Sus scrofa: one gene and its partners. The protein of the gene in region 1 binds, or shares a complex with, the protein of each later gene. Links are inferred from orthologs where the notes say so. Each region holds a gene or a part of one and is shown in the gene's direction. Other genes may lie near its edges.

Region 1 (11,010 bases):
CCATTTCAAGTACATAGTATGCCATGTTTTGAAATGTCAGTTTCAAATAATAATTCCTAGTTTGTACAAATGGCTTTATTAATGTGTCCTAGCCTTCCTGTACATGAAGAGTCTTCATGTTTTCTTTTGGGAAATTTATGTTAGAAAGTTGTCAAAAAAATCAGTTTCTTTTGCTTTAGATTTTAAAATCTATAGTTTATTCTTTCAAAATGGGAATTTCAAATTTCTTTTGAAATGTTTGTAAAAATAATGAATTTTGTCATTTTGAGCATAAATCACATTAACAGTTACTGTAGTATTCAAGCAGTATTCAGTTTGACTGCTGTTACTGAAATTGTATAAAATACAATTTTTCTAGTACTACTGAAATGTAGGTTGGAGTCAAAATATTGCTATTTGCTTTTTAGTGAAAAACTTCATCTCTATTTGCCATATCTTTGAGCATTTAGTTATATGTTGGCTATAATGTAAGTAAACATTGATGAAATTTTCTTTTTCTAATTTTACATGGTCTCTGAATTGGAAAGGATACGTTTACATTTCATGATTTAGGGGTAGTGGATATTAATAAATAAAATAAATTGAAGTTGTATTTGTATGTCCTGCCCCAAAAGGTAAGAATTGTGATCATTTAAAATCCTAAGACATTATAAACTATGTTAAGTTTACCAAGAACTGAAAATAAACTACAGTACTAAGTAGAGCTTTAAATTTCCTGTGTTCTTTTTAAATGTAGGGAATAATTTATAGAAGACCAAAACTATTAGCATTTAATTTACCACTTTAGATTATGTCAAGACAACTTTTGTTTATTTTTGCTTTAGGCCAAAATAGAATCTGATCGAGTCATCGGTTCTGTAGGCAAAAAAGTAGTACAGGAAACTGGAATTAAAGTCCGAAGCCGATCACATGGTTTATCAATGGCTTATAGGAAAGATTTTCAACAGCTGCTCCAGGGAATTTCAGAGGATGTTCCTCACAGACTGCTAGACCTTAATATGAAAGAATACACTGGGTTCCAAGTTGCTTTGCTTAATAAGGTAATGGTTATAGGAATTTAGTACTGCTCTAGTTACATTGTTATATTGTTTTAATACATCCAATTTTCTGTTCACTGATGCTCAGTTTGTCCAAACTTCTATACCTCTGCAGAAAAATGATCAATTATACTCTTACTGAATCATTGAATTTTAGAGTTCAACACTGTACCTGGTGAGTGGATAAGTGGACTGGCAAAGAGCAAACCATCCCATTCATTTTATAGATGAGAAGACAGGCTGAAAGTCACATAGCTAAGGGTAGGGTTCGCTGTAGTTTGGTACTTACACTGCTGACCTTGGGAGCACAGCATGATTCTGAAACGCTTTGTGAATAATCATTATTAAAAAGGTCCTCATCCCAGTGGTTGTTTTGTAGAAACAGGGTGATTCTAAAATTTATATGTAAGTGTAAAGGTCTTAGAATAGCCAAAACAATTTTGGAAGAGAAAGTTGCAACACTTGCACTATGTACTTTTAAAAGTTTCTGTAAAGCTTCAGTGATCAGTATGTTGTATTGTTGGCATAGGGATAAGTATACAGGTCAGTAGAAGCAGACCCTCACATGTACAGTCAGTTTTTAATAAAGATGCCAAAATAATTCAGTGGGTGAAGAGACAGCCGTTTTAACTGATAGTGCAGGAACAACTGGATATCCATATTTATAAACTTTTGCCTCACATTACTTGAGATGATCATGGTCATAACTAAACCTATAAACTTCTACAAGGAAACAGGATAAATTGTTTAATATGTTGGATCATGGGTCAGTGAAGATTTCTAAAATGTAACACAAAAGCACACACACACAAATGCATACAAATTTGATAGACTGAATTGGGTTTTTGTCTTTTTTTTTTTTTTTTTTTGTCTTTTTTTTTGTCGTTTTTGTCTTTTGTTGTTGTTGCTATTTCTTGGGCCGCTCCCGTGGCATATGGAGGTTCCCAGGCTAGGGGTCGAATCGGAGCTGTAGCCACCAGCCTACGCCAGAGCCACAGCAACACAGGATCCGAGCCGCGTCTGCAACCTACACCACAGCTCACGGCAACGCCGGATCGTTAACCCACTGAGCAAGGGCAGGGACCGAACCCGCAACCTCATGGTTCCTAGTCGGATTTGTTAACCACTGCGCCACGACGGGAACTCCGGTTTTTGTCTTTTTTAGGGCCACTCCTGTGGCATATGGAAGTTCCCAAGTTTGGGGTCGAATTGGACCTGTAGCTGCCTTAACCTATACCACACCCACAGCAACATGGGATCCAAGCCACGTCTGCTGCCTACACCACAGCTCATGGCAACATCGGATCCCTAACCCACTGAGTGAGGCCAGGGACTGAATCTGTGTCCTCATGGATACTAGTCGGGTTCGTTACTGCTGAGCCACGACAGGAACTCCATGAACTTTGTTAAAAATGAACATTTTTGTTTTCAGAAGAAACTTTGAAGTTTCTCCTAGGCAAGCTACAGCCTGGGAGAAAAGCATATATTGAATAAAGGACTTGTATCAAAATATATAAAGAACTCATAGAACTCAAAACAAATATGCAGTTGAAAAATGCACAACATAAGGAGTCTCCTTGTGGTGCAGCAGGTTGAGGATCTGATGCTGTCACTGCTGTGGTGTGGGTTCGATCCCTGACCTGGGAACTTCTGCATGTCATGGTCGTGGCCAAAAGATAAATAAAATACATTTTTCAAATGGACAAAATATCTGAACAGACACCTCACCAAATAAGCTATACAAACTCAACATGAAAAGAGGTTCAACCTTATTAGCCACTGAGGAAATGTAAATTAAAACTATATGATCACATTTCATTCCCACCTAAATGGCTAAGATTTAAAATTGAAAAATATTAAGTATTGGTAAGGATGTAGAACAACTGAAACGCTCATATATTGTTGATGGAAAATAGTTTGCAGTTTCTTAAGAAAGGTAAATATTGCTATATGACCAACAGTTCTAGTTGTAGGTTTCCCCTGAGATAAATGAAAGTATGTATATAAAGGTTTTGTATGTAAATGTCATAGAAGCATTATTTGTAATAGCCCCAAACTGTAAACAATCTAAGTGTTCTTCAACAGGTGAATGAATAAAGTTATAGTATATCCATGTAATGGAATACTACTCTGCAATAAAAAAGGAATAGACTCGCAGTACCTTAACAATATTGTTGAATCCTAAGAACATGCTTAATAAAAGAAGCCAGATAGGAAAGATTTCATATTGCAAGATTCCACTTATAAAATAGAACATAGACAGCAGATTAGTGGTTGCTTACAGTAGGAATTAACTACAAATGGGCACAAGGAACTTTCTAGGATGATGGAGGTGTCTTAAAACTGGATCATAATGATGGTTTCACAACTATACATTTACTAACACTCATCAAGTTGTGTATATAAAATGGGTAGTTTTATGTTATGTAAACAATACATCAAAGGATTTTTTTAATAAAAACCTTCATACTCTTTAAAATTTGGAAATCATTTTCTAAGATATTTACTTCTCTTAGCCAGAATATATAATAAAATCTTGGACAGATGTGAATTTGAGATTATTTGGTTGAATCTCACTACCAATTTTGTATTTTTAGGTTCTTAAGATTGCATCATATCTCTTTATTCTAATTTTAAGCTAATTAGTTAACTTGTATATCATATTTCCAAAGCTGTGTTGCAGGCTAGAGATTTTAGTTTCTCTTAATTCTATGTTTCAAAGTAAATTTTGTCTTTGAATCTTTTTTAACAGGATTTGAAACCACAGACATTTAGAAATGCATATGACATACCAAGACGGAATCTTCTGGATCACTTAACAAGAATGAGATCTAATCTTTTGAAGAGCACCCGTAGATTTCTTAAAGGACAGGATGAAGGTTAGATTATCGTTTTAATATTGGTATTTCTTTACTAAACTTCTTTCTTTATATTGAAAACACATAGAATGCTGCTGTAACTTTTAAAGAATTATTACAGTAGTATTACATAATCATTGAATGAAGTAAAAAGTGACTCATCCCTCATTCTCTGCATTTCTTACTGCCGTCACTGTTGTGCCCAATTCTGTTCCCCAGAAGTAACAATCTTTGTTAACAGCTTAGTTTCCTTTTTGGCTTTCTTTATACATTCACACATATAGGCACAGACACAAACAACATCGTTTTCTTGTGATGTACTAATATCCGATAATTTAACTCTAAATGGCCAAAATATGTCATATTCTGGTATTTTCTTCTACTCTGCCCATGGCAGCTACTACGAATCAAGTCAGGTGGGAACTTAACCCTTTGCCCACTCTGATATAAGCATTTCAACTAAGCGTTCTATAAAAAGGGTAATCTACATCATTTTCCTGTAAATTATGCTATAATTATTTGGAATAGAGTAGAAGAGACACTCCTTTTCATGGAAATGTTAAACATATTGCTTGTTCTATACAGTGAAATTTGTTTTGTTTAGAAGATAATTAAGTTTTATTTTTAAAAATCTCTAGATTCTGTCACAATATTTATAATGGCAACAAACTAATGTAGGCCATGTGGTAAGGGAGGACTGCCCCCAGTAACTCCGGGGAGCAGTCATACATCAGGAGACACTATTTTTTTTCTTTTTTCTTTTTTTTTTTTTAAGATTTTAATTTTTTTTCATTATGGCTGGTTTATAGTGTTCTGTCAATTTTCTACTGTACAGCAAGGTGACCCAGTCACACATGCATGTATATATTCTTTTTTCTCACATTATCATGCTCCATCATAAGTGATTAGATACAGTTCCCAGTGCTATACAGCAGGATCTCATTGCTTATCCATTCCAAAGGCAATAGTTTGCATCTATTAACCCCAAATTCCCAGTCCCTCCCACTCCCTCTTCCTACCCCTTGGCAACCACAAGTCTGTTCTCCAAGTCCATGATTTTCTCTGTGGAAAGGTTCATTTGTGCCATAATTAGATGCCAGGTATAAGTGATATCATATGGTATTTGGCTGACTTACTTCACTTAGTATGAGAGTCTCTAGTTCCATCCATGTTGCTGCAGATGGAATTATTTTGTTCTTTTTTATGGCTGAGTAATTTTCCATTGTGTATATATACCACATCTTAATCCATTCATCTGTCGATGGACATTTAGGTTGTTTTCATGAGAAGATATTATTCGATAACCACATGGAAGGTAGTTTTAGTGAGGTTAACTTTTGTTGTTGCTCTATTCTGTTTGAAAAGATCAAGTGCACAGTGTTCCTATAGCACAAATGGGGAATTACCAGGAATACCTCAAGCAAGTACCTTCTCCACTAAGAGAACTTGATCCTGATCAGCCTCGAAGGTTGCATACATTTGGCAACCCCTTTAAGCTGGATAAAAAGGTAAATTTGGAATGTTATTTATATAATTTATTTGTGCTAGGCACTGTGAATTTAACAGTTCTTAATCTAACTCAAGTAAGCTGAAGCTATTTTCCTGGTAGAATACCTAATGTCACATAGTTAAAATATAGTTATTTTAATGGTAATTGGAATTATTTGTGCCATTTAAAAACTGTATGTAAAGACAGGGAAATTATATTCTTTCTTGTTATAGGGAATGATGATAGATGAGGCAGATGAATTTGTGGCTGGACCTCAGAATAAACATAAACGACCTGGAGAACCAAATATGCAAGGCATCCCTAAAAGACGCCGCTGTATGTCTCCACTACTGAGAGGCAGACAGCAGAATCCCGTTGTGAACAATCATATTGGAGGAAAAGGGCCACCTGTACCTATGACTCAAGCACAGCCAGATCTTATTAAACCCCTTCCTCTTCATAAAGGTAAGAGTTTGTCCTTAACATTATTTGTTGTTTTTTGATTCTTCACGGAAGAGATTTTTGTAATATATTACGGAAAAAAATCGATGAAGTCCAAGAGAAGATACTTGTTTATTCTAAATTAGCATGTAAGCATTTCTCTATATCTTTTAAATGAACGGTTATTGAACATTTCGTGCTTATTATGTTTAACAGTTATCATGATCTAAAATATCATTTGCAAATCTTAAATATTTAAAAACTACAGTTTTCTAAAGGGGTGTTATCAATACCCACAGAAAGATGGTTTTCAATTTCAGTTTAATTCAACCACTAATTTTTAAATGATACGGTTTTGTTTGTTTATGGCCACACCTGTGGCATATGGAAGTTCCTGGGCTAGGGGTCAAATTGGAACTGAAACTGAGGCCTAGGCCACAGTCGTGGCAATACCAGATCTGAGCCGCATCTGTGACCTACACCACAGCTCGTGGCAAGGCTCAGATCCTGAGCATGGCCGGGGATCAAACCCACATCCTCAGGGGAGACAGTGTCGGATCCTTGTGCTGCTGAGCCACAATGGGAACTCCATGATATGCTATTTTCGACAGTGCGAAGCACTGAGTTATAGTGGTAAACAAGACAGTGATCACTGTGCGCATTTATAATGAGTGAGGAAGGAAAGTCATCGAACATTTCACTGGAAGTATGATGAATGTTACAGAAGGGAAGTCTGGTATGTTGGGAAACATTTAGCAAGTGGATTTAACATAGTCTATGGGCACTTAGCTGAGGAAGTTATGTTTAAGCGACCACTTGAAGGATGAATGGGAATTAGTTAATAACTAAAGCTGTGCATTCGCCTGTGCTACAGTAGTCGTCTAAGAAGAATCTGTGCAAAGGCATACAGTAAAGAGCAGGACATTAGGGGAGCTGAAAGAATTCTAACACATTAGGGGTTAGGATGAGGTAAGGTGAGAACTGAAATACACATGCAGAGTCCAGATCATAGAGGGCCTTGGAAGCCACTGTAAAGATTCTAGACTTTATTCTAAGGACAAGGAAAATCCATTGAAAGGTTTTAAAGAGGTAATGATCTGATCTGATTAGCATTTTATAAAGACCAGGCTGGCCTTATTGTGGGCAAGAATGAGAATTGATATAGGAAACTCTTAATTAATGGATTTGTTAATTGCAGGTGGTGATCTTTCATGGCTAATAATGTCTTAACTGGAAGGAAATTAATATTATACCTCTTGATGGAATTATACAGTATTACTTTTAAAGTCATCTTGCTCTCCTCTTCCCAACACACGCACACACACACAAACTGACCATCAATCTAATCAAGCCTCTGTTAAGTACCAATTTTTAGGAAATATAAGGGACAGAGAAACATGTTAAATTACAAAACAGATATAATTAGCAAAATCCAGATTGCGGGAAACTATAGGACAAAGACTTTGGTGTGTGTGTGTGTGTTTCCAGAAAAAAAAAAAGTGCATGGAAAAAAAGAGGTACAGAAGGATTTTATAGATTAAAACATATAAATCAATTGCAGTGTGTTTATGGTCTGATTTGGACCCTGAACTTTCCACAGACACAGAAAATGTGGCAATTGGAGATTGTGGGCAGTGATTGGGTATTTGATACTATTAATTAATTGTTAGGGATGCACAGGCAACAGTTGGGAAACACAAGGAAGAGCTAATGGTGACCTGGAAGTGGGTTGTGCGAAGAATGTTTAAGAAATACTTGGACACATCAGCAAAGGAGTTGGTGATGACTGATTGGATGTTGGAGTCAGGGCAGGGGAGCAGTGGAGAGACAGTGGGTATTTGAGTGTGCTAGGGATGGAGTGGAAGAAGAGGTGTTGAATGAGTTTAGTTTAGAAATATCTATTAGATAGCCAAGTGGAGATCCTCAGTTAGAAGATGGATAGTTGAATTGGAACTCAGAGAAGAGAACTGGGCTGGAGAGATGGGTATGGGAGGCAGCCTTAAATCCCATTGAGTGACCTAGGGAAAGAGAAGAAAAAGCCTAGAATAGAACTTTGAAAGTAATGAAGTTTAAGAGGAGAAATAAGATTCAGAGAAAAAGGGAAGAATCCAGAAGACAATAGGGAAGAATTCAGTGTGGTGTGGAAGCTAAAAGGAAAGAGCATTGAGTAGTTGGTGGTCTCAGATGCTTCTTAAGCAGACCAGGAGGACTGAAGCGGGTCTGAAGGTCTTTAAGTTGACAGAGTTGAGTATGTTTAAATGCTGGTGTGATGGAATCAATGGGAGGGGGGCTGAAAATGAAGGTAAAAGAAAGTACAATCAGTGAGAAGGAGGAAGGGAATGGTTCAGAGCCCACATGAAGGACGTTTCTTCCATTAAAGCTGAGCAGGTGTGGTGGGCACAAGTGTAACGGTGGCAAGTTGAGGAGGTTCCCATTCTACAGCTTTTCTTTCCTCCTTGAAGTTGGAGGTGACTTAATGCTGAGAGGAAGGAGAGATTGGGAAAGTAAGAGATGTTACGTTAGGAGGAAGGAGAAGGTGCAAATGATTTTTGTGTGTGTGTGTGTGTGGTAGAGGAGCAAAGGTTGTAGTAAGAGGGCTAGGCAGTGCTAAGACCCAGGTCACGGACGGTGATTGTGACCACTCTGCAGAGCTGGCTCGTATTCTCCAGTAGTGCTTACCCATCATCCCACCTGCGAGTCTGGCGCAAGCAGATAGACTGCATCATCAAATCTGGGATTTTTCAAAACAAAAATTGGGGATTTTTGCCTGACAGGTGTCATGGGAAGACAATAGGATGAGAGAATCTGGGACACTGGTTAAAAAGTGATACATTATGGGATATAAGTTGGCTAGGTAAGAAAGTGGATATCTAGAAAGAATCTCATTAATATGAGGGGGAAAGTAGAGGAGTTGCTGGGAGTGAAAGTCTGGCTGAGTTCAAGAGCAGTAGGAGGAATACTGCCAAGATGAGGGTTACACACATCTCTGTCCTTGAATTTGTGTTTGACTTGAGAATCAAAGAGGTGGGTGGAAAAGTTCTTTGGAGACGAAAAGGTGAGGAATTGGGAGGCCAGGTTCTTGGCAGGTGATCTCCTTAGGTGTGGATGTCACACACTGCAGCACTTCTCAAGCTTTAATGTATATAGGAGTCTCGGAGGCAGGGGAGGGAGGTGGTCTAGTTAAACGACAGATTGTAATAAATTGTGTGGGGGAGGGCTTAAGGTGAGCACCTCTAGCCAGCTCTCTGCTGGTGCTAATGCTGCTTGCCTGTCCACAGACCACAATTTGAATACTAAGGACCCAGAATGATATCCCAAGGGATGAAGTCTGTGGACCAGGTGCCAGACACATCCCTGACCACAGGTGTGCCCTGGAGATCAGTAAAGATAGTGCTGAGCAGAGTGAGGATGGCTGGAGTGGGACAGCTAAATCCCAAAAGAGAAAAAGAGTTTTTGCAAGAGTGTATGGAGAAATGATCTTGAAGTGGCCCTGGGAGGTGAAAGAATCAGTGATTCCAATCCTTATTTTAAGTTCATTGAGAATGTTTGCGAGAAAGCAGTTTCTGTTTTTCAGATCTGAAAAAGAAAGTGCAGTATCTTTGCGGGAGAATTGGGTGTCAGTTAAAGCAGGAATTGCTATAGAGAATATTCAGTAAAGTTTGCAAATCATGGAACAGGATTTAGGAGGGAGAGGGAGTCTCCTGGGGTTCGAGGGGTTTTTATGGGGATGAGTTTACATTTTGGACAGTAAATGAGGAAAACAGAGATGAATTCAGCTGGGCTCCTGGAGGTTGGTAAGCAGTCAAAGAGTTTGGAATTAAGCTGATTTCTGTGGGGAGCAAGTTTAATAATCTAATATTAAGTGGCAAGCTTGCAAGCTTTTTAAGTATGGTCGTCTAGTGAGCTGAAGTGGGCACTGGCTCTTGTGCATTACGACTAGATGAATGGTTATAAGAAAAGGGGATGCTGCGGGACCACCTGTTTGGTTTGTGTTCACCTTTGCTTCTAAGTAGTAACTACATGAGGCAGAGGCAGGATGGAATGAACTAGTACTCTAACAAAAACTATATCCATGATAATCTTGATCACACATATTTCCCTAAAGCATCCAAACCTAATTTATTCAATAAAATTGAATAAAGTGAGAACTGAAAGTTATCTGAAATTAGCTTTTTTTTTTTTTTCCTAAGGGCAAGAGTTGTACAAATTTTATAAATGGTGTGAAAGTTTCACATTGAAACTCACCATATATTTGGCAAGGCTTAAGAACCATATCACATTATTTGTTAATTTGCATCAGGTCAAGGAGAGAGCATTTGTGAATTGCTGTAATATTGTTTCTTTGCACTTTTCTTTACTGTATGTCTGGAAATTGGCTCTCAATTTTTTCCCCTTATTTTTGTTTTTAGTTTCAGAAGCCACTAATGATTCGACAATAGATGATGTAGTTGAAAATCATGTTGCAGACCAACTTTCTTCAGATATCACACCAAATGCAATGGATACTGAATTTTCAACGTCTTCTCCAGCCAATTTATTGGAACGACCAGCCAATCATACAGAGGGTCTTGGTCATGACCATTTAGGAACTAATGACCTCACTGTTGGTGGATTTTTAGAAAATCATGAGGAGCCCAGAGATAAAGAACAATGTCCTGAAGAGAATATACCAGCATCCTCACTCAACAAAGGAAAGAAACTAATGCATTGCAGAAGCCATGAAGAGGTCAACACTGAACTAAAAGCACAAATAATGAAAGAGATCCGAAAGCCAGGAAGAAGTATGTATATATAATTAGAGACAAATGAAAAATTTGATTTCTGTATGTGCTCAAAAAAAGTAAAAGCATAGATCTGATTTTATTTTTTTTAGGTTTCCCCCATGAATATTTTTATTTTTAAATGATCTTTATTTTTTCCATGATAGCTGGTTTACAGTGTTCTGTCAGTTTTCTACTGTACAGCACAGTGGCTCAGTCACACATACATATACACATTCTTCTCCTCATACTATCCTCCATCGTGCTCCATCATAAGTGACTAAATAGAGTTCCCAGTGCTATACATCAGAATCTCATTGCTTACATAGATCTGATTTTAGGTCTGTTTTTTTTTTTTAAGTATGGTCATAGTTTATTTTATTTTTTTGGCTGCACTTGTGGCATGTTGAAGTCCCTGGGCCAGG
Region 2 (11,010 bases), on another chromosome or scaffold:
TAGTATTCCATTGTGTATAGATACCACATCTTCTTAATCCAATCATCTGTTGATGGACATTCAGTTGTTTTCATGTCTTGGCTATTGTGAATAGTGCTGCAATAAACATGCGGATGCATGTGTCTTTTTCGAGGAAAGTTTTGTCTAGTTATATGCCCAAAAGTAGGGTTGCTGAGTATTATGGTAATTCTTTGTGTGGTTTTCCAAGGTACCTCCACACTGTTTTCCATAGTGGTTGTACCAATTTACATTCCCACCAACAGTGCAGGAGGGTTCCCTTTTCTCCACACCCTCTCCACCATTCGCTATTTGTGGATTTATTAATGATGGCCATTCTGACTGGTGTGAGGTGGTATCTCATGGTAGTTTTGATTTGCATCTCTCTAATAATCAGTGATGTTGAGCATTTTTTCATGTGGTTGTTGGCAATTTGAATATCTTCCTTGAAGAAATGTCTGTTCAGGTCTTTTGCCCATTTTTCAGTTGGGTTTTTGGCTTTTTTGCTGTTGAGTTGTATAAGTTGTTTGTATATTTTAGAGATTAAGCCCTTGTTAGTTGTATCATTTGAAACTATTTTCTCCCATTCTGTAAGTTGTCTTTTTGGGTTTTTTTATGGTTTCCTTTTGTGTGCAAAAGCTTGTCAGTTTGATTAGTTCCCATTGGTTTATTTTTGCTTTTATTTCTGATGCTTTGGGAGACTGACCTGAGAAAACATTTGTAAGGTTGATGTCAGAGAATGTTTTGCCTATGTTCTCTTCCAGGAGTTTGGTGGTGTCTTATCTTATATTTAAGTCTTTCAGCCATTTTGAGTTTATTTTGGTGCATGGTGTGAGGGTGTGTTCCAGTTTCATTGATTAACATGCAGCTGTCCAGGTTTCCCAGCAATTCTTGCTGAAAAGACTTTCTTTTTCCCATTTTATGTTATTGCCTCCTTTGTCGAAGATTAATTGACCATAGGTGTCTGGGTTTATTTCTGGGTTCTCTATTCTGTTCCTTTGGTCTGTATATCTGTTTTGGTACCAGTACCACACTGTCTAGATGACTGTGGCTTTGCAGTATTGCCTGAAGTCTGGGAGAGTTATGCCTCCAGCTTGGTTTTTGTTTCTCAGGATCGCTTTGGTAATTCTCGGTTTTTTGTGGTTCCATATTAGTTTTTGGATTGTTTACTCTAGTTCTGTGAAAAGTGTCGCAGGTAATTTTGTTAATTTGTTAGGGATTGCATTGAATCTGTAGATTGCTTTGGGTAGTATGGCCATTTTTACAATATTAATTTTTCCAACCCAGGAGCATGGAATATCTTTCCATTTCTTTGCATCCTCTTTAATTTCCTTGATTAATGTTTTACAGTTCTCAGCATATAATCTTTTGTCTCCTTGGTCAGGTTCATTCCCTGGTATTTGGTTTTTTGGGGTGCAATTTTAAAAGGTATTTTTTTATTTCTTTTCTAATATTTCATTGTTAGTATATGGAAATGTGAGTGATTTCTGAGTGTTAATCTGATATCCTGCTATTTTGCTGCATTTGTTGATCAGTTCGAGTAGTTTTTGGTTTGAGTCCTTAGGGTTTTCTGTGTATAGTATCATGTCATCTGCATACAGTGACAATTTTACCTCTTCTCTTCCAATTTAGATACCTCTTATTTCTTTTGTTTGTCTGATTGCTGTGGCTAGGGCTTCCAGTACTATGTTGAATAAAAGTGGTGAGAGTGGGCATCCTTGTCTTGTTTCAGATTTTAGCGGGAAGGCTTTCAGCTTTTTCTCCATTGATTATTATATAGGCTGTGCATTTGTCATAAATGGCTTTTATTATGTTAAAGTATGTTCCCACTATACCCACTTTGGTAAGAGTTTTTATCATGAATGAATGTTGGACTTTGATGTTTTTTCTGCATCTATTGAGATGATCATGTGGTTTTTTATTTTTCTTTTGTTAATGTGGTATATGATGTTAATTGATTTGCATATGTTGAACCATCCTTGTGAACCTGGGAATTCATAGCAATACAGGCTTTCCTCAAAAAAGAAGAAAAATCTCAAATCGACAACCTAACCCATCACCTAAATGAATTAGAAAAAGAAGAACAAATGAAACCTAAAGTCAGCAGAAGGAAGGAAATCATAAAGATCAGAGAGGAAATCATTAAAATAGAGATTCAAAAAACAGTAGAAAAAAATCAATAAAACCAAGAGCTGGTTCTTTGAAAAGGTAAACAAAATTAACAAACCTCTGGCCAGACTCACCAAGAAGAGGAGAGAAAAAACCCAGATAAACAAAATAAGAAATGAAAAAGGTGAAGTCACAATGGATACTGCAGAAATACAAAAAACCACAAGAGAATTCTATGAACAATTGTATGCCAACAAATTTGACACCCTAGAAGAAATGGAAACTTTCTAGAGACTTACAGCCTGCCGAAACTGAATCAAGAAGAAATAGATCAACTGAACAGACCGATCACTAGAAATGAAATTGAATATGTAATAAAAACACTCCCTACAAATAAAAGTCCAGGACCAGATGGCTTCACAAGTGAATTCTACCAAACACAAAGAGGAACATACCCATCCTCCTTAAATTTTTCCAAAAGGTTGAAGAAGAACACTCCCAAAGACATTCTGTGATGCCACCATCACCCTAATATCCAAACCAGACAAAGATACCACCAAAAAAGAAAACTATAGGCCAATATCTCTGATGAAGATAGACACAAAAATTTTCAATGAAATTTTAGCCAACCGAATCCAACAACGTATAACAAAGATCATACACCACGACCAAGTGGGATTCATCCCAGGTTCACAAGTATGGTTATATCAGTTGTTTAAAGAAAAGGACAATACATTGGTCACAACATGATGTCTTAATTTTTAACTGAAAATTGCTTAGATTTATGATCTGGCTTTTTTGTTGTTGTTTGTTTCTTGTTTTGTTTTAACAATATATTGAATAATCTGAATATTTCACTATGGATATCTTTTTAATTTCACTTATAGGATATGGAGCCACCCAAAATTTCAAGCACAAAAACTGTGTCTGTTAAGCAAGAGCCCAAAACAACATCCAGTCTTCCTTCTGGCAATAATAATGGCAAGGTCCTTACAACTGAAAAGGTAAAGAAGGAAGGTGAAAAGAGACCTGCTGATAAAGTAAGATTTTATTTTACTCTAGTAAATCAATCAGTCAATCAGTTGTTTATTGGCAGAAAAATATTTTGCTCTCTTTGTATGTAATAGTGGATAAAAGTATATAATCAGTAAATATGTTTTGATAATTATAGGTGTTGGTTTTTTGAAAAATTAAAAATTTAGAAACATTTTTAAACCACTTACTGAAGTCATTGTCAACAACATTTAAGCCCTAGAGGATGTACTAATTTTATGTGTAATCTTACAACTCAAATGTTCCGAGTGGAACAGTTGTTGAAAAGAAAAGATAGCGAGGAACGAATAAAGGTGTAAATGACTAAATATGAAATTTGTTACAGAATGGCCTGTACCTTAACAGGGGTATAGATAACTCATGGATTGTCTATTTTGAATGATTTCCTCACATAATTAATTATTAGGATTTTTGCACTTATATTTAAAAAATGTTTTTAGAGAAACCTTAGTAACCTCTGGCCTGGAATATTTTAGTACTTTTTCTAAATATTGGCTATTCATAAACTATATGGTATAATTTTTTGTGTTTTTAAATTTGTATAAATGCTGTACATACATATCGTTTGACAACTTTTTCTTTTTTTTTTCTCGCTTTAAAATTTTTTTTTTTTTTTTTTACTTGTTTAACAATCCGTTGCTGTGTTGCGTACGGTCTACAGCTCATTCAACTACCTGGAATATATCCAGCAAAATAGACAACCACAACAAAAAGACAAAAGAAAAAAAAAAATGTCCTTTTAATATTTACCTGTGTTGACACTTACAGATCTGAATGTTTCTTTCAACTACCATGTAATATTCATCCTATGTATAAATTAGTTTATCCACTCCCCAACTGATAGGCAATTAGCTTATTCTTTTTCTCTGTTACAATGGAGCATCAGTGAGCTTTTTTGCACATGGTGATAATTTCTATAGGATGTATACCTATAAGTGGATGTAATAAGATAGGTATATCTTCAACATCATTAGGCATAAGTGGATTATAAGTTTATACTCTCACTGATAAAGTATAAGAATTCAAAATTCTCTTTTTTTTTTTTTTTTTTTTTTTTTTTTTTTTTTTTTTTTTTTTTTTTTTTTTTTGTCTTTTTAGGGCCACACCAGCGGCATATGGAGGTTCCTAGGGTCTAATCGGAGCTGTAGCTGCCAGCCTATGCCACAGCCACAGCAATGCCAGATCCGAGCTACATCTGCAACCTACACCACAGTTCACGGCTATGTCAGATCCTTAACCCACCAAGTGAGGCCAGGGATTGAACCTGCAACCTCATGGTTTCTAGTCGGATTCGTTTCCATTGTGCCACAGCGGGAACTCTTTTTTTTTTGTCTGAATTCAGAATTCTCCATGTCTTATCAGACTTTTAACTTTTGCCAATCTGACAGGTATATCCATAATATTTATGTCTTAAAGAGAGGAGACAGAATTTGCTTTTAAGCAAATATGGAGATGTGTTAGGCCTGGATGACTGATAGAAGTTCATTATTTATTTACTTCTTTTCAATGTATTTTAAATGTCAGTAGTTCATAATTTAAAATACTTAAAACAAAAATAGCCTTAATTGTGCTGTGGCTTCTCAATTCAAAGTATCGAATGGTGGGGGGTTTGGGGGAGGTAGTCAAAGACAGTATAAGTAAATTCCTGAACTTCCAGGATTCTTTAATGGATAAAAGACTACAAAGAGAAATACAGGTCCATGTTAAACTGTTCCACCTTATTGGTTTCTTTTAACATACTGATTGTGATTTTATTGTCCATCTTCGACAGGTCTAACTGTGAATATATCTGATGAGTAGACTTGGTCATTGCACACTGTCTGTTTTATCCCATCTCTCTGTGATTTAAAATTTATTCTAGTGTGATTTTTTAATAGATGAAATCAGATGTCACTGAAGGAGCTGATATTCCAAAGAAACCAAGATTGGAGAAGCCAGAGACACGGTCTTCTCCCATTACTGTCCAAACCAGCAAGGATTTGGCTATAGCTGACCTTTCCAGCTTTGAGGAGACGAGTGCTGATGATTTTGCCATGGAGATGGGATTGGCCTGTGTTGTTTGTAGGTAAGTTATACCTTGCCACAGATTATTTTATTTATTTGCAAAGAGCAAACATCTCTCAAAAGAAAAATGAGATGAATTGTTGGGCGTTTTTACTTTGTTTTTATTATTTAGAGGTGGGTAGAAGATAAGGAGATTATTCCCCATGAACTGCCCATATGACAGTTTGTCTTGAAAATTTTCAATATTTTATCTTCCTGACATTGGCATCTTTGGTCAGTTATGCTGTAGTAACACTTTCTGCATTCTTGGGTTCTAGAGGGAAAGCAATTATTGCTTTATTCTTCAGTGAGGAAGAGCCTGTTCAGCAGATTTAATTATTTCCATCTTTCTTTTTAAGAAGACTATGTTTCTGGAGTTCCCGTCGTGGTGCAGTGGTTAACAAATCTGACTAGGAACCATGAGGTTTCGGGTTCGGTCCCTGCCCTTGCTCAGGGGGTTAATGATCCGTTGTTGCTGTGAGCTATGGTGTGGGTTGCAGACGCGGCTCAGATCCCGCGTTGCTGTGGCTCTGGCGTAGGCCGGTGGCTGCAGCTCAGATTGGACCCCTGGCCTGGGAACCTCCATGTGCCACGGGAGCAGCCCAAGAAATAGCTAAAAAGACAAAAAAAAAAAAAAAAAAGACAATGTTTCTTTTTTTTTTCCTAAAGTGTTGATAGTATTTATAAAGTAAAAAGTTATGTATCATTTTCTCAAATACTATTAAATATTTTCCTAAGGATAATGGAAACAAATGATTGGATCATGTAGGTTATTTTGAGTGTGTTTTAAAACATGGATACATAATTATAAAAGCACAGATAATTCTGCTTAGTAAAAGAGGCATTTTAAAATTCAGGATAATTAGATTTTTAAGCAACTTGATGCCAGGAGCTATATTTTTAATTGTTAATGGCTTTCATTGCTTTAGCACAGCAGAAAAGATAGCCACCTTTATTGGTATTTTCTTCATGAAAATGTTAAACTCTGGTGCACTGGGACTAAGCCTATATCTATAAACTTTTGTGAACCTTTAGAGAATCAGTTAATGTACTTCTGAATGGGATCATATTGCTAGAGCTTCATTATTTTCACATGTATTTTTCTCAACCTTTATTTACCATAAGGGTTATCATTTTTATATAAAGAAATAAATGGTAAAGTAATAAGAGGGAAAGAACTAGTAATTGTAGCCCTCCATCAGGAGACTTCTTATTCTAGCCTAAGGCTATTGCTGTTGGAATTTATACTTTTTTGATACACATATTGCTACATTCTATTCAGTTGATAAGACATTTATTTATTGAACAACCTATGTCTACACAATAATGTGCTAGGCTCTATAGACTATTAGGTACAGTTGCCACCTTTAGGTAACTCATATAGTAATGAAGAAGATAGAAAAATATGTAGGCAATATATATAAAGGAATTTAATAGAGGTACAAGTACAAAGATGTTATGAGACTGTTGGAGGACTAGCCAAAGTCTACTACCTTCTAGGAGAAAGAAAAAAAATTGCGATGAGAAATGACAAGGTGAATAGAGCCAGATTTAGTCAATAAGTCACTTCATGTATTTCTTAATGGTGAAAAAAAACCTTTAAAAGAAACAGTGTTTGTACAGGCTATATGTTGGGGTTTGTTATTTTGCTCTTTGGTTTTCAGGGGATTTTACCCTCTTTAGTATATCAAACTTTACCAGAACAACCTTAAAATGGCTTTAAATTGTTGCATTCAAATAAATGTATTGTTTAATGGTGTATTCTCTTAGGCAAATGACAGTGGCATCAGGTAATCAATTAGTAGAATGTCAGGAATGCCATAATCTCTACCATCAAGATTGCCACAAGCCCCAGGTGACAGACAAGGAAGTGAACGACCCTCGCCTTGTGTGGTATTGTGCCCGATGTACCAGACAAATGAAGAGAATGGTAGGAATCATTTTTCTCCATCTTAAACAATCTCTGTGAAGTTTTTTTGTTGATATGTGCTTTTTAAAATAAAAATTGGACATTTATACTACTGATAAAAATAAATCATGTAAGCCGATTATGTAAATGTTTGTGTATGTACCATAGTATGTGTGATTTATGTAGATTTGCCTAAATGGGCCAGACCACATGTATGTATTTTTTTCTATTTATCTTTAGCGCTTTCTGGTATAAACAAACAGGATCGAAGACCCACAAAATATAAACATTCCTTAGTAGTATGTCAGTGTATTTGTAAACATTTAAAAAAAAATAATGCAGGAGTTCCCATCGTGGCTCAGTGGTTAACGAATATGACTAGAAACAATGAGGTTGCAGGTTCGGTCCCTGGCCTCATTCAGTGGGTTAAGGATCCGGCGTTGCCGCGAGCTGTGGTCTAGGTCGCAGACGCAGCTCGGATCCCGTGTTGTTGTGGCTGTGGTGTAGGCCGGTGGATACAGCTCCTATTAGACCCCTAGCCTGGGAACCTCCATATGCCACAGGAGCGGCCCTCAAAATGCAAAAAGACAAATAATAATAATAATAATGATAATATTAATGATAATAATAATAATGCAAAGCACTGTGGGAAGTGGTGAGATACAAAGCCCCAGTCTTTGGTGAGTCTGGTAATGAAATATTGGAAATGCCTATTCCTGAGTGAGCATAAATCACCAAACATACAAACTGTGTACAGAGGTAGTATTTGTATTGCATCTCTGTCTTTCCTTCTGGGTTTCTTTATTTGCTTCTCAGTCTTTCCTTCTTATTGTCTTCAAGTGACCATTTATCCTATTTTCCAGAGTACTACCTCAGTTGCCTGTTGACAAACTTAACTGCCTTTGATATCATACTGAACATGTTTTCATTTGTTATATTGGATAATTTTCTAACTTTTATTCATTTAAAAAATAGGTAGATGAACATTGTTAAAAAGTCAAGTTGTTATTTACTTCAGTGACTTGCTTGCCTCTCCCACCACCATTCCCCCTGCATTAGATTAGGGACTCCTGATAGAAAAGTTCTCGTATCTGATAACCAAATGAATTTCTACATAAAATTTTTCTGACCAAATGTACCTTTTTAAAGTCAGAAGTTCTTAAAGTAAAAAACAACAACAACAAAGATATCTACTGTATTTTTAATCCCTTAAATCAGAATTAGATTATGTCTTTATTCCTATGAAAAGTTGTAAAATTTCAGTAGTATTTATACTTTCTGTTTGTAACAGGAAATTTTATGACAAGGTATATTTTTTTTCTGCTCAGTCTAATTTTTATTTAGTTTAAGTAATAAAACTAGCTCTCCAGGATGTCATCAGAGTGTTTGTGGGTAAACAATATAGTGCATTCCAATGCATCGACACAAGTAGTCACTAAGAATTAAGTCAGGATAAATAATTTGTAGCATTTATCTGTCTTTTCTTCAGTATAACTTCAAAGTCTATTATTATTTAACTGTAACTCTGTTAATAAAGTAAGTACTGTTCTTTCCTAAGTTTTCCCTCCCTTATATTTTGTGACTTAGTTTACACCAAATGTATATCTATAGTTTTTTTTTTTTTTTTTTTTTGTCTTTTTAGGGCCACACCCTGGCGGTTCCCAGGCTAGGGGTCGAATCAGAGCTGTAACCACTGGCCTACACCTCAGCCGCAGCAATGCCAGATCTGAGTCGCATCTGCGACCTATACCACAGTTTATGGCAATGCCAGATTCTTAACCCACTGAGCAAGGCCAGGGACCAAACTGCATCCTCATGGACAGTCAGATTCGTTTCGGCTGGGCAATGACAGGAACTCCCCTTTTTATAGTTCTAACCCTCTCTGGAGTGGATTTTGGCAGCAGAACAGATATCCTACAGTTACTTTAAGTTTAATATTTTTATTTATTTTTTTAATTTAATTTTTATTATTGTTACTATAATAATCCACAGCATGCAAAAGTTCCTAGGACAGGGATTGAACCTGAGCTATGGCAGTGACACTGCTGAATCCTTACTGCTAGGCCACCAGGGAAGTCCTTAAGTGCAACATTTTTTAAATTAAAATTATTTTCTTCTCCACTCAGTTTTTTTCCCCTATTTCCTGAACTAGAAAACATTATCTTTGATGCCTCTCTTAATTCCATATCCCTTTGTTTACCGCACTTGTTAATTGTATCTCTAATGTATTTCTTAAATCTTCATTTCACTTTTATTACCCTGTTCCACAAATCCCTCATTTCTTGTCTATTATTTTAGCTTAAGAGGTCTCTTTCTTCCCTTCAGTCCACTTTACTCACTGTAATTAGAATATTCTTCTAAAATATTTATCAAACTTCATCGTTCAAGTTTACCAGTGGCTCTCAGTTACTGATATAATGAGGTTATCCCTGCCAGGGTGAATGTATAGACTTTCTCTCTTGGACCTACTTTACCTTTGTATCCTTCTCTCCTGCCACTTCGCCGTATACACCAACATACTATGGCCATGCCGGACAAATGGTTCATTCCTTGCGTATATGGTGAACTTTCATTTTCCCATATGCCTTGCTTCTCAGTTTCTCTTCATCTGGGATACCTTTTTTCTTTATCAACTTTGCAAATTAAATGTCTAATTCATTCGTCATTAAGACCAAGTCTCAGAGTTCCCACTATAGCATGACAGGATTGGCGGCATCTCTGGAGTGTTGGGACTCAGATTTGATCCCCAGCCCAGCACAGAGGGTTAAGGATCTGGCATTGTTGCATCTTGGTGTAGGTTGCAGCTGTGGCTAGGATAGGATCTGATCCCTGGCCTGGGAACTCCATAGGCAATCATGGGTTAGCCAAAAAAAAGAAAAAAAAAAAAAAAAAAAAAAAAAAGACCAAGTCTCACTCACTGGCAAAGCATTAGAGCAGAGCTCAGGACTGGACACATCCTACATTCTATTGTTCTCATTTTAAGATACATAAAATGGAGGAAATGTAGATTAGCACCAGAAATTATTAAGTTCAGTCAGTGTCCGAGAGTCCAGTGCTGAATGGGGGGCCATGACTAATATTAGAACATGATTAGATCCTGTGAAATCAGATTGTTATGATCATTATACAACTACAGATGTGATAAATTCATTTGAGTAATAAAAAAAATGAAAAGAAAAAAAAAAAAAAAAACACGATTGGAATGCACCAAGAGTGGACCTAGAGAAATACCAAAAGACATGATCTGAAGTGAGCTCGGAGATCAGGATCCAGTATATACAAGTTTAGTGAGAGAAATAAATTTGGAAATAGTGGGGATGCTAAGTCCAGTCATTCTTGTTATAATTGCCTTCATCGAGGTTCTCCTATGTGCATTGGTTATTGCTCCAAGATAACTCAAAGACACCATAAATTACATCTTATATCACCTTTCTCCTTGTGCTTAATCCTCCAACTAGGGCAGATTCTACAGTACGCATTATTATAGGAAGACAGAGTTAAGAATGGTGTGAAATGGGTGATAGGGTCCAAGGATATTCTCACTCACTAAGTGAGAGACCCATGACTTATTGTAGTGATTCTCAATCTAAGGTAGTAACACACTCCTACTCAGCAATATTTAGAAATACATGGTAGTTTTGATTGCTGCTATACTGGCAGTTATGGCCTTCAGTGGAGAATTTCATATGTTCTGTGATATGTAAGTCACCTAATGAAAAATTATAGTGCCTTTGTCGAGCAGCACTGAGTCAAATGATAATATCCTAGTTCCCTAATCTGGTATGACCAGCAGAGGACAAAGGGTTTTGGGTATTTTTTCCTCAGCTTCTAAGATGGCTACGTAAAATAAAAGAAACAGAAAAAGACCTAAACATGATCTTCTAGGCAGAGCTTCTTTA
Region 3 (11,010 bases), on another chromosome or scaffold:
CCAGATGCTCTCTGGAGCTCAGAAGAATATCCAGATCTTAGGTTTGAAGGCTAAGCCCCTGCGTATTACCCACCCCCAAGGCCCTGACAGTCTGGTGGGGGAGCAAGGCCATGTGCCATGAACAGGGCCCCAGTGTCCAGTACATCCAGGCTTTTCCACAATTAACCTGAGGTATTTTTATTATTATTATTAAGAGCAATAGATAAAGGAGATCTAAATGAATTCCAATAACTAATTTAGATAAAATTGATTGAGCAGCATCAAACTAGCCAGATTTTTTTTTTCACTGCAAGCAGTTGTTTTTCATTAAGGCACATGTAAGTAGATAATCATTCACATTTTACACCCATTTTCATTTCACTCTTATTTCCTGGGGAAGGAGCTGGCACAGCACATGTACCCTCCTCAGCACACAGTGTGTGGCCGGATGGAGGGAGCCAGGCATGCTGCCTGTGAGTCCAGGCTGGAGAGATGAAGTAGGGAAAGTTATAAACATAATTTTTTTGTCTTTTTTGGGGGGGTGGGCACCGGAGGCATATGGAGGTTCCCAGGCTAGGGATTGAATCAGAGCTGCAGCCTTTGGCCTGTGCCACAGCCACAGCACCAGAGGATCCGAGCTATGTCTGCCATCTACACCAACAGCTCATGGCAGCGCCAGATCCTTAACCCACTGAGCAAGGCCAGGGATCAAACCCACATCCTCATGGATGCTAGTCAGATTTGTTTCCACTGAGCCATGACAGGAACTCCAGGATGATTTTTTTAAAGGGGCAGTCCAGGAGTTCCCCTGTGGCACAGCAGGTTAAGGATCCAGCATTGTCACTGTGGTGGCCTGGGTCACTGCTGTGGTGTGGGTTCTCTCCCTGGCCCAGGAACTTCCACATGCCGTGGGTGAGGCCAGTAAAATAAATAAATAAAGGGGCAGTCAAACCACATGTTAGGCAATAACCTGGTGGAAAGATCCGTACAGCTCCTTAGGCTGACTGCCTAATTCTTTAAAAGGAAAATATTCCTTTTTCTTTAGGGCTTGTGAGTACAGCAGCTCACACCCTGGTCTCTCAGCTCAGCACTTGATTTGATTTCTAGTAACAGCCCCTTCAGGAGAGAGGTGGCCAGGGCTGCCGGTGTCAGGAGTTTCCTCCTGGCGCTTAGTGCACCTGACAGCACTTAGCATGGAGCTGGCCTCTCCTCTGCTCTCCCCTGAGGCCACATCCTAGCAAGACCAAGAGAATAAAAATTCTTTCATCTCTAGGTTCCAGGTTATCCTTTCTCCATATTTCGCTGGCCCAGCTCCTTGCCTCCCTTATTTAATCATGCAGATCATGTTTATTGAGCCCTCACAATGGGCCAGGGCCTGTACTCCGCACTTTCCATGGATTATCTCACTCACGTTATGACACAGGTACACTTACTCCATTTGACCTGGTCTCACCAGGCAGTGAAGGAAGGGTCTTCTCCATCTCTGAAGAAGCCTCAGGTGATCACCACTGTATTTCTTCCCCAAAGGTCATAGCTAACGAATGATACAGATTTTGTCCTTGAAACTAAGTGAGAGTAGGGCCTCTGATTGATTTGTGCTAATGTGGCCCTCAGGCCCACGGCCCAGACATCGCAGTAGGGGTGCTCAGGGTAATCAGAACCGGCAAGCAGCATCCCAGAAACTTGTTATAGGTGCAAGTTCTCCAGGCCCACCTCAGTCCTACTGCATCAGACCTTCCAGGGGGAGGCCCAGCCGTCTGGGTATTAGCCAGCCCTCCAGCTAAAATCTGAGACCCACGCGTGTAAGAGACCTCTGTATATTCCACATGTGCCAGGTTTTAATAAAAAAGGCCAAAGGAAGACACAAACAGAAATGCTAGCCATCTACAGAGAAACAATCTGACTAATAAACTTCTGGCATTTCCCATGCCCAAGTTTATCCTCACCGTGATTAAATAGTCCATGTTAGCTTGTTCCCTCTTTATTTATTTTTATTTCATTTTTTTTTGTTTTGAGGGCCACACCCTCAGCATGTGGAAGTTCCCAGGCTAGGGGTCGAATCCAAGCTACAGCTGCCAGCCTACACCACAGCCACGACAATGCCAGATCAAAGCAGCATCTCTGACCTATACCACAGCTCACGGCAATACCAGATCTTTAACCCACTGATCGGGGCAGGGATCGAACCCGCATCCCCGTGGTTATTAGGTTCATTACTGCTAAGCCACAATGGGAACTCCTTATTCCCGTTTTAAATCAGCAACATAAAAGGTAAATCTTCCTCTGTTAAACCTGACACTGAGCCAGAGGAGCAAGAGATTGGCTTTGAGGGCTGCACAGCACCCTGTTCTGTCTTTCATGAAGCCCCTCCCTCAAGTACAGTAGGCGTAGAACCTCAGCCTTGACCCTGAGGCCTGCCCCACCCCCACCTGTGTGCCATTGTGGGTCCCTGGATACCTAGCTCTGTCATCCTGCAGGTTGGTCAGGACTCTTTTTTGACCAACTGTCCTCCTGAAACCTGCTGGATCTTTGAAATCATGGCTCTTTGCTATAGACTTCGGGTTGCTTAACCCATGAGGTTAATATTGCCTGTGCTGGGATTTTTTTGTTTTGTTGTAGTAATTTGGCATTGATAGTGGATTTTTTTGGTTGCTGCGGGTAGATGAAAGCAAGTTCTCCCTCCAAAAAGGGTCCAAGTTTTTGTTCTGTAATTTGTAGCATAGAAGTGGCACTAACCATCCCCACTTCTAGTTGTTATTATTATTATTTAATGTGTTTTTATTATTTTGCTTTTCATTTTCTTTGCATTTTGCTCATCTCAAAGTGAAAGACTCTGACACAGTGTCTTTGGATTCTTTTTTGTCTGGTATTTACAGTGGCTCTGGGCTTGAAGGCTTAGGTTCAGATTCCAGTCCTCTAAGCCAGCAGTCCTCAAATGTTTTGGTCTCAAGACTTCCGAAAAATGAGACCCCCAGGAGCGTTTGTGTGTGAGGGTTACATCTATTGATATTTGCTATGTTAAAAATTAAAGGCTTTTAAAAAATGTTTAATAGGAGTTCCCGTCGTGGCTCAGTGGTTAACAAATCCGACTAGGAACCATGAAGTTGCGGGTTCTATCCCTGCCCTTGCTCAGTGGGTTAAGGATCTGGCGTTGCTGTGAGTTGTGGTGTAAGTTGCAGACGAGGCTCGGATCCCGCGTTGCTGTGGTTCTGGCATAGGCTGGCGGCTACAGTTCCAATTGGACCCCTAGGCTGGGAACCTCCATATGCCGCGGGAGTGGCCCAAGAAAATGGCAAAAAGAAAAAAAAAAAAAAAAAACCAGAAAAAAAATTTAATAAAATTAAAACAATATAAGCCCATTAGATGTTAACATAACTAAAATATTTTTTATGAGAATCTTTCTTTAAAAAAAGATAAGATCACTGTTTGATTCTTGCAAATGCCTACTTGTGGAAGACAGCTGGATTTGGCTGTCTCCTTTTGCTTCCAGTCTGTTGTGATATACATGTTATGGAGCCTCTAGAAAATTCCAGTGAACACTCAGGAGAGAATGAAATTGAAAAAGCAAAAACATCTTATTAATGACAGCCGTATTGATCTCAGTGCCCTGAAAGAGCTTCAGAAGCCCCAGGGACCATGCACCACACTGAGAACCAGCGCTCTGGATAGTCTTCTTGCCTGACCTGGGTGACTCTGCGGAGAGTCTCAGCCAGTCTCCAGGAAAAGCACTGCAAGAATTATTGCACTTCGTTTGCTTCCTCTTCTGAGCCCATTTACCTGCTGCCACAGTCCCATCTTTTCTCGTCTGCCCCTCTCTCACCTCCTGTCTTCATTGCAATTGAGTGTGTGTAAGATGTATTTTTTATTAAAAATTAGAGGTTTTTTTACCTTCTTAAACTTATTTGGTCATTTTAGATTGCAATGGTGTAAGTAAAAATTCAAAAGAAGAAAAAGTGAATAAATAGTAATCATTAAAAGTTCCGCTTTATCTGGTAGCTTTCCCACCAGGCTGGCCGGGGCACATGGTGTGCTGACCCTGGGCTATCACCATCCGTCTCCGAGCTGTGCATTTCCCCTTCCCCCCACTTCACACTGAGCCTGACTTAAACCCCTCTGTTTGCCCCACAGCTCGCAGACTCTCTGGTGCCCATGGAGATTAAGCCTGGCATTTCCTTGGCCACCGTCTCAGCCGTGCTGCACACTAAAGATAACAAGCACGTTCTTCAGGTATCGTAGGGAAGGGTGGGTGGGGCTAACGGGGAACCATTCCTCCCAAGAAGGTGCTAACATTCCAGCCAGCCCCCAGGACAGTGCCTCCCACACCACCAGATACTGGAGACCAGACTACCTGAGGGATTTGATTTGAAATGGAGAGAGCACTGCATATCAGTTCTCCACACCTTACGTGGGAGATAGAAGCCAAGAGAAATGATTGTTCATGGAGATGGGACCACGCATCATCCCAAGTGTGGTCCACAGCTCTGAGGGCACCAGCATCACCAGCTGCCCACGTGCTCTCAGCAAGCTCCCATAGGCACCACCCTGAGCCTGCAAGGTTGGGGTAGGGATGGGGGCCCCACAGCAGACGCAGTCCCTGCTCCTGCCCACAGGGGCCTGGAAGGCAGCAGACTGGGGCAGGTGGCCTGAGGCTGGGCAGCTGGAGGGCTCCGCACCTCACTTCATGGCCCATGTGCCACCTTGAGGGGCAGCTCTTTGAGACCTCGTCGCTCTCATCATGTGCTGACAGCAGCCACTGACATCATACCGTACCCTGAGCTGGGTCCTACATGCATTTAGTTAATCCTCACAAAATTTTCTTCATCATCATCATCTTATGGGCTATTTCTCTGCCCTTCATTTTCTTGAGGGAGAGACTATAACCAACCAGGCTGGCCCCATAGCCAGCATCCTGCTGCTGTGCTGCTCCACCTACTGCCACCAACGTGGTTTATTAAGACTTTACTCAGTCCTGAATTGAACTGATTTAAAATTTAAAATGGATCTTGATAAAGGGAAGATGTCTTTGCCAAAGGAGTTGATTCTCCAGGTGTGGTTGGCTTCAACTTGTTTGGGAATCCGGCTGGGGGTGACCCTGAGCACAGATGCCTGCCAAGTATTTCCACCACCTGGAGGGGGTCCTGCTTGGGATAGATTATCGGGTGGCCTGCACTAATCTCTGCAGCTCATGGGTGGAGTTCTTGATTCCTGCTTTCCTCCTGCCCAGCCCCCACCCAGGCCTGCCCAGCCCGTAGGCGGCAAGAAGAGAAAGCGGGCAAGTGAGGAAGTCCCCGACTGCAAGGTTGTGAAGCCTTTGCTGAGTGGCTCCATCCCTGTGGAACAGTTTGTGCAGACCCTGGAGAAGGTGAGTGCGTGTGCTGGGGCCGTCCTGCTCCGCTCACGGTGGCTGCTGCTTGTTATTAGTCCCCACTGCCTGAGCTGCTGCCCCTGGAGTATCTGCTTGGTCCTCGGTCATGGCAGAGATAGAGGAGAGCGTGCCCTCTCCATGGTGCCCTGGTCGTTCCCCTGCTGGCCCTTCCTCCCCCTGCAATACCCATCTGTGGGGAGACACCCCCACCCGACCCTGCTTCCTGTGGGAATAAACTAAAGAAAGGTCTTTCTCTGAAAATGTAGCTGGGACATATTGGGGGGGGCAGGTGGAGGCCAGTAGGAAGAAGGATCTACCCCCTGTGGACCCCTTCTCTTCCATGAGAACACCCCTTGCTATCAGAGCCAGCATGGCCACCTCACAGGAGAGGCGTGTCCAGGCTGAGTGTCAAGACTAGGGGTGGGCGTGTTGCCAGTGTGAGCAGAGGGCATCAGCATCACTGGATCCCCAGGAGCTTGGAATGCAGGGCCAGCCATTCCCAGGCAGGGTGGGAGGAGAGAAGAGCAGGCGGGCATTTTAGGGGATGGTCGTCCCTCCCCTGGCTCAGCAGCCATGCCACCCCTTGTCCCTGATGGCTGCTCCTTCCAAGGAAGAGATTTACTGGCTACAGTTAAAAAGAAAAAAAAAAATTCATCTGAAAGGATTTTTAAATTCTGGCTTCAGTCACAGGACTTCAGAGATTACTGTTGTTTTGGCATCAGAATTAAAGATTCCTTGATAGGAGGAGGAATTAGCTAAAGTTAATATTATTCATGCTGCTTCTTATAAGAACTACTACTAACTCTAGTAAATAATTCCAGGAAAGAGATATTCTTCTAAGGTACTGCCTATGTCCAAACTAAATATCTCAGTTGCCGAGTTCTTTGCTTCAACTAACTTTGGGTTTTGTTTGTTCTTCTTTCTCTAGTTGCTTTAAGTGTAAGGTTAGGTTTGAGATTTTTCTTGTTTCCTGAGATAAGATTGTATTGTTATAAACTTCCCTCTTATAACTGCTTTTGCTGCATCCCATAAGGTTTGTATCCTCATGTTTTTATTTTCATCTGTCTCTGGCATTTTTGTTATTTCCTCTTTGATTTCTTCAGTGATCCATTGCTTGCTTGATAGCATATTGTTTAGCCTCCACATATTTGTCTTTTTTTGCAGTTTTTTTCTGATAGTTGATTTCTAGTCTTCTAGCATTGTGGTCAGAAAAGGGTCTTAATGTATTCTTAAATTTATCAAGGCTTGCTTTGTAGCCCAGCATGTGATCAGTCCTGGAGAATGTTTCATGTGCGCTTGAGAAGAATGTGTATCTGGCTGCTTTTGGATGGAATGTTCTATAAATATCAATTAAGTCCATCTGGTATGATGTGTCATTTAAGGCCTGAGTTTCCTTATTGATTTTCTGTCTGGATGATGTGTCCATTGCTGTAAGTGAGGTGTTAAAGTCTCCCACTCTTACTGTGTTACTTTCTATATTGATTCTCCGTTCATGGCTGTTAGCAGTTGCCTTATGTATTGAGGTGCTCCTATGTTGGGTGCATATGCATTTACAATTGTTATATCTTCTACTTGAATTGATCCTTTGATCAGTATTGTGTCCTTCTTTGTCTTGTAACTAACATTCTTTATTTTAAAGTCTATTTTGGAGTTCCCATTTTGGTTCAGTAGGTTAAGAACCTGAATAGTATCCATGAGGATGTGGGTTCGATCCCTGGCCTTGCTAGTGGGTTAAAGATCTGGCATTGCTACAAGCTGTGTGGGTCGCAGATTTGGCTTGGATCCTATGTTGCTGCAGCTGTGTTGTATGCTGGCAGCTGTAGCTCCAATTTGACCCCTAGCCCCAAGAACTTTCATATGTCTCAGGTGAGGCCCTAAAAATAAAAAAAGTCTATTTGGTCTGATAAGAGTATTGCTACTCCAGCTTTCTTTTGATTTCTATTTTCATGGTATACCTTTTTCTATCCTCTCATTTTCAGTATGTTCCCTAGAACTGAAGTGGGTCTTTTGTTTTTGTATCCATTTAGCCAGTCTCTGTCTTGTGATTGGAGCATTTAATCCATTTGCATGTAAGGTACTTATTGATATTTTTGTTCTTACTGCCATTTTGTTCATTGTTTTAGATTTATTATTGTAGGTCTTTTTTCTTCCCTTCCTCTTTGGTTTTCTTTTCTTGTGGTTTGATGCCTCTCTTTAGTGTTCTGTTTAGATTGCTTTTTCTTATTTGTGTATTATTTATTTTAGATTTTTGGTTTGCAGTTACCATGAGGTTTTTGGTTGTTTATTTTTCTGTGAATTTTATTACGTTTATAGTTGTAAAACTACCTTGATGTTTCAGTGTAGCAGTCTATACAAGATTGTTTTAAGTTGCTGATCTCTTAATTTCAAATGCTTTTCTAATATCCTGTAATCATACTCTCCTCATGATTGCTGGTTTTGATGTCATATTTGTGTATGGATGATTTCCTACCTTTATGCTATGTTTGCCTTTACCAGTGGGCCTTCTCATTTGTAATTTTCTTATTTCTAGTTCTGGACTTTTCTGCCTAGAGAAGTTCCTTTTCTTTGTCTTTAATTTTGGTTCATTTAATTTTGGGGTGTGACTAGAGGCAGCTGTTTGCCTAGGACAACTTTAGGCAACCTGTCTGCTGATGGGTGGAGCTGTGTTTCCTATCCTGTTGGTTGTTCAGCCTGAGGCTTCTCAGCACTGGAGCCTTCTGGCTGTTGGATGGGGTCAGGTGTTTCCAAATGACAGCCTCCCAGGGAGCTCACACCAATGATTATTCCCTGGGGCCTCCATCTCCAGTGACCTACCCCCACAGTGAGCCAGAGCCACCCTCTGCCTCCCCAGGAGACCCTCTAAGACCCACACTTAGGCTTGGCCCAGGCTCCTGCTTTGCCCTGGGACCTGGTACATCTGAAAGCTTGTGTGCTCCCATAGTCCTATGGGGTTTCTACACTCAATGCCAGACCACCAGGCTGGGGAATTTGGCACAGGGTTTGAAACTTTCAGTCCTGTGGGAGAACCTCTGCAATATGGTTATTTTCCAGCTTCTGGGTCACTCACCCAGCAGGTATGAGATTTCCTTATATCTTGAAAGCACCCCTCCTACTCTTGTTGGGCTTCTTTTTCTTTGGGTGTAGAATATCTTTTTTGGCAGTTTCCAGTCTTTTTTTGTTTATGGTTGGTCAGCATTTAGTTGTGATTTTGGTGTGTTCGTGAAAGGAGGTGAGTTCAGGTCATTCTACCCTGCCGTCTTGTCTTTAATCCTGCATTTTTTCAAATATTAAGGGCTCTCCCTCTATTGGGAATTTTCTATGCTAATGATTTCATTGTCTCTGAAGGGAGGGTTCCCCCTGAGTTGTGTGGCTCTCCTGGGCCCTAATAACATGGGGACACCCTGTGGGAATTACCTTGGAAACCCCGTCTGCCATGAACATACTGGTACCTGCTTCCTCATGACTGAGCAGTGCTCCGGCCCTGCTGATAGGACTCACACTTGACTTTTCTTGAAAACTTGAAGCAGCTTGCTTTCCCAGAAAGGCTTTGTTTAGTTGTTCTGCCTGGTATGCCCAGGAATTGACCCCTGGGACCTGACTGACTGACTCCTCTGACCATTCTGCCCCATCGCTTCCTGCAGGAGGAGTATCTGTGCCTGCCCCAAAGTATGTGTGAGTTTTATAGAACCAAGTGCGTTTTTACCTCTTGTGTCCTTTTCAGGCAAATCAGTCTTCTTTCCCTTCTTTCTCAACTTTACGTTTGATACACAAGAACACTGAGTTAGCATTGGAGGTGGCACTAGAGAAGGTGACACTGTCTCTGCTCCCTTGGGAGGGATTTGCCAGATCACAGCGTCAGTGGCATCCTGCTGTGAGGAATGACATTTTCCCGGGACAGGATAGAGCTTTTCAACCTGGGACCTCAGTGGTACAGGAGTTGGTGTGGAATAGCCCAGCACCCCAGCCTCCTGAACCCAGGTCTTGGATGTGTTTCTCAAGTAACTCACAAAAGCTTAAGCAGATTGTAGGAATTCTGCTGTTTCTGCATGAGATTTTGCATGTTTAGGGGCTTTAATTTGAATTCCGTTACTGAAGTAGGTCCTGTACTAGTCTGAAGATTTATACTGAGGAGTATCCCAAATTCCTCAATTCCTTGAATGTTCAGTTTAGCCAAATCAAGGAAGTGTCATTTTTAGAACGTGGTTGCTGAAATATCCTCCTGCCTTTCAGTCAGCCCCTTACTTGTCAGAGCACCCACCATCCTCGTGTCCTTTTCTTTTGGAGCAGCATGGCTTCAGTGATATTAAGGTGGAAGATACAGCCAAGGGCCATATCGTCCTGCTCCAGGAAGCTGAGACACTCATCCAGATTGAGGAAGATTCGACCCACATCATCTGTGACAATGATGAGATGCTCCGGGTACGACTGAGGGACCTTGTCCTCAAATTCCTACAGAAGTTCTAAGGGGCACACCTCGACCATCTCCCCGTCCCCGAGCCCTGCAGTCCTTCACTCTGGCTGCCCCGTGCCCGGCTAAGGGGGCCCTACTGCAAGGCTGGTCTCTGGGGTGGTTTCCCTGGCGTGAGAAATAAAGCAGCAGCCCTGGAGGGACGTTCTCAGGAGGTACAGCCAGACTCTCCTGTCCAGCTTCCTCACACTGATGCAGGTGAGAGCTTTCCCCCTGTCAACCTCAGACTCGTTTTCCTCCCGAGCCTAGCCCTCTTGGGTGCCAGCTGGGAAGACAGTGAGCTGGAGCAGCATGAGAGAGGCAGCTGCTTTCCAAGAGGCCAGGGTTGGAAGGGGAGGTAAATAGATGATGATTTGTGGCCTATTTTTCATGCTTTCACAGGCCTCAGTTGAGGGAACTAATCTTTGATTTTTGTTTTATTTACTTGTCTACAGTGCTGTACCTAGTCAGAAAGACGATCCCAAAATTAGTAGGAACCCATCTATTTGTATTTTATAATGTGAGCCCATTGTTAATAAAACTTATTTTGTATAGAAGTATGTATTTTCTGTGTTCTGTTGAACTTTGAACTTATGTATTCATTTGGTATCTGAAAAATATTAAAATATATAGAACTAAGAGAACAGCAAATTTTAGTTTGGTGTGTGCATTAATATATTTCTTAAATTGTACAAACGGTGCTTTACCTTTGCTGTGTCTACTATGTAAAGAACACCAACACTGACTACTAACACCAACTGTGACCTTCTGAATAAGGGCTTGAACCAGCAGCTCAGGCTCCACTCACTCACCTTCAGTCCTCCAACCCAGCCAGCAAGCAGAACACCACAAAGGGCTATAGTGACCTAAGAACTACGCCACTATCGGAACTACTTGCTCAGGTTTTATGGCGAGTTGATTGGCACTTCTCTCTTTAGAACGGACAGAATCAGTGGGAAGCAGTTGTCATTAGAGGCGGGAAAAAGGCAACTTCACTTTTGCTGTGTCCAGCTCTTCCACCCTGGGGCACAGGATGCTTCAACAGGTCTCTCCTTCCCAAGGTATAGGCCGTTCCACTCAAGGGGCCTAGGATCTGTCTACAGAGTAAACTGTGGGAGAGGATTAACAGTACAAGCGATTGATGTGTTGTGGCTATGAAAATTTAGTTTTGTTTTTAGGAGGAGAATCGTAAATACGCAGCACATGCAGGCATACTTCC

What was found.
Region 2: INTS6 (region 1) and INTS12 share a complex: the UniProt entries of both Homo sapiens proteins name them as parts of the integrator complex. The link is inferred for Sus scrofa from reciprocal best matches to the Homo sapiens genes INTS6 and INTS12.
Region 3: INTS6 (region 1) and INTS9 share a complex: the UniProt entries of both Homo sapiens proteins name them as parts of the integrator complex. The link is inferred for Sus scrofa from reciprocal best matches to the Homo sapiens genes INTS6 and INTS9.

What each region holds. Positions count from the first base shown.
Region 1 is NC_010453.5:16,451,295-16,462,304, forward strand, and holds part of INTS6 (integrator complex subunit 6), read left to right. Parts: intron 1-824; coding exon 825-1,040; intron 1,041-3,789; coding exon 3,790-3,916; intron 3,917-5,260; coding exon 5,261-5,403; intron 5,404-5,617; coding exon 5,618-5,849; intron 5,850-10,234; coding exon 10,235-10,606; intron 10,607-11,010. UniProt on the Homo sapiens protein: Component of the integrator complex, a multiprotein complex that terminates RNA polymerase II (Pol II) transcription in the promoter-proximal region of genes.
Region 2 is NC_010450.4:116,044,709-116,055,718, forward strand, and holds part of INTS12 (integrator complex subunit 12), read left to right. Parts: intron 1-2,993; coding exon 2,994-3,146; intron 3,147-5,036; coding exon 5,037-5,224; intron 5,225-6,972; coding exon 6,973-7,132; intron 7,133-11,010. UniProt on the Homo sapiens protein: Component of the integrator complex, a multiprotein complex that terminates RNA polymerase II (Pol II) transcription in the promoter-proximal region of genes.
Region 3 is NC_010456.5:12,576,527-12,587,536, reverse strand, and holds the end of INTS9 (integrator complex subunit 9), read left to right. Parts: intron 1-4,107; coding exon 4,108-4,206; intron 4,207-5,203; coding exon 5,204-5,341; intron 5,342-9,631; coding exon 9,632-9,808; 3' UTR 9,809-10,442; downstream 10,443-11,010. UniProt on the Homo sapiens protein: Component of the integrator complex, a multiprotein complex that terminates RNA polymerase II (Pol II) transcription in the promoter-proximal region of genes.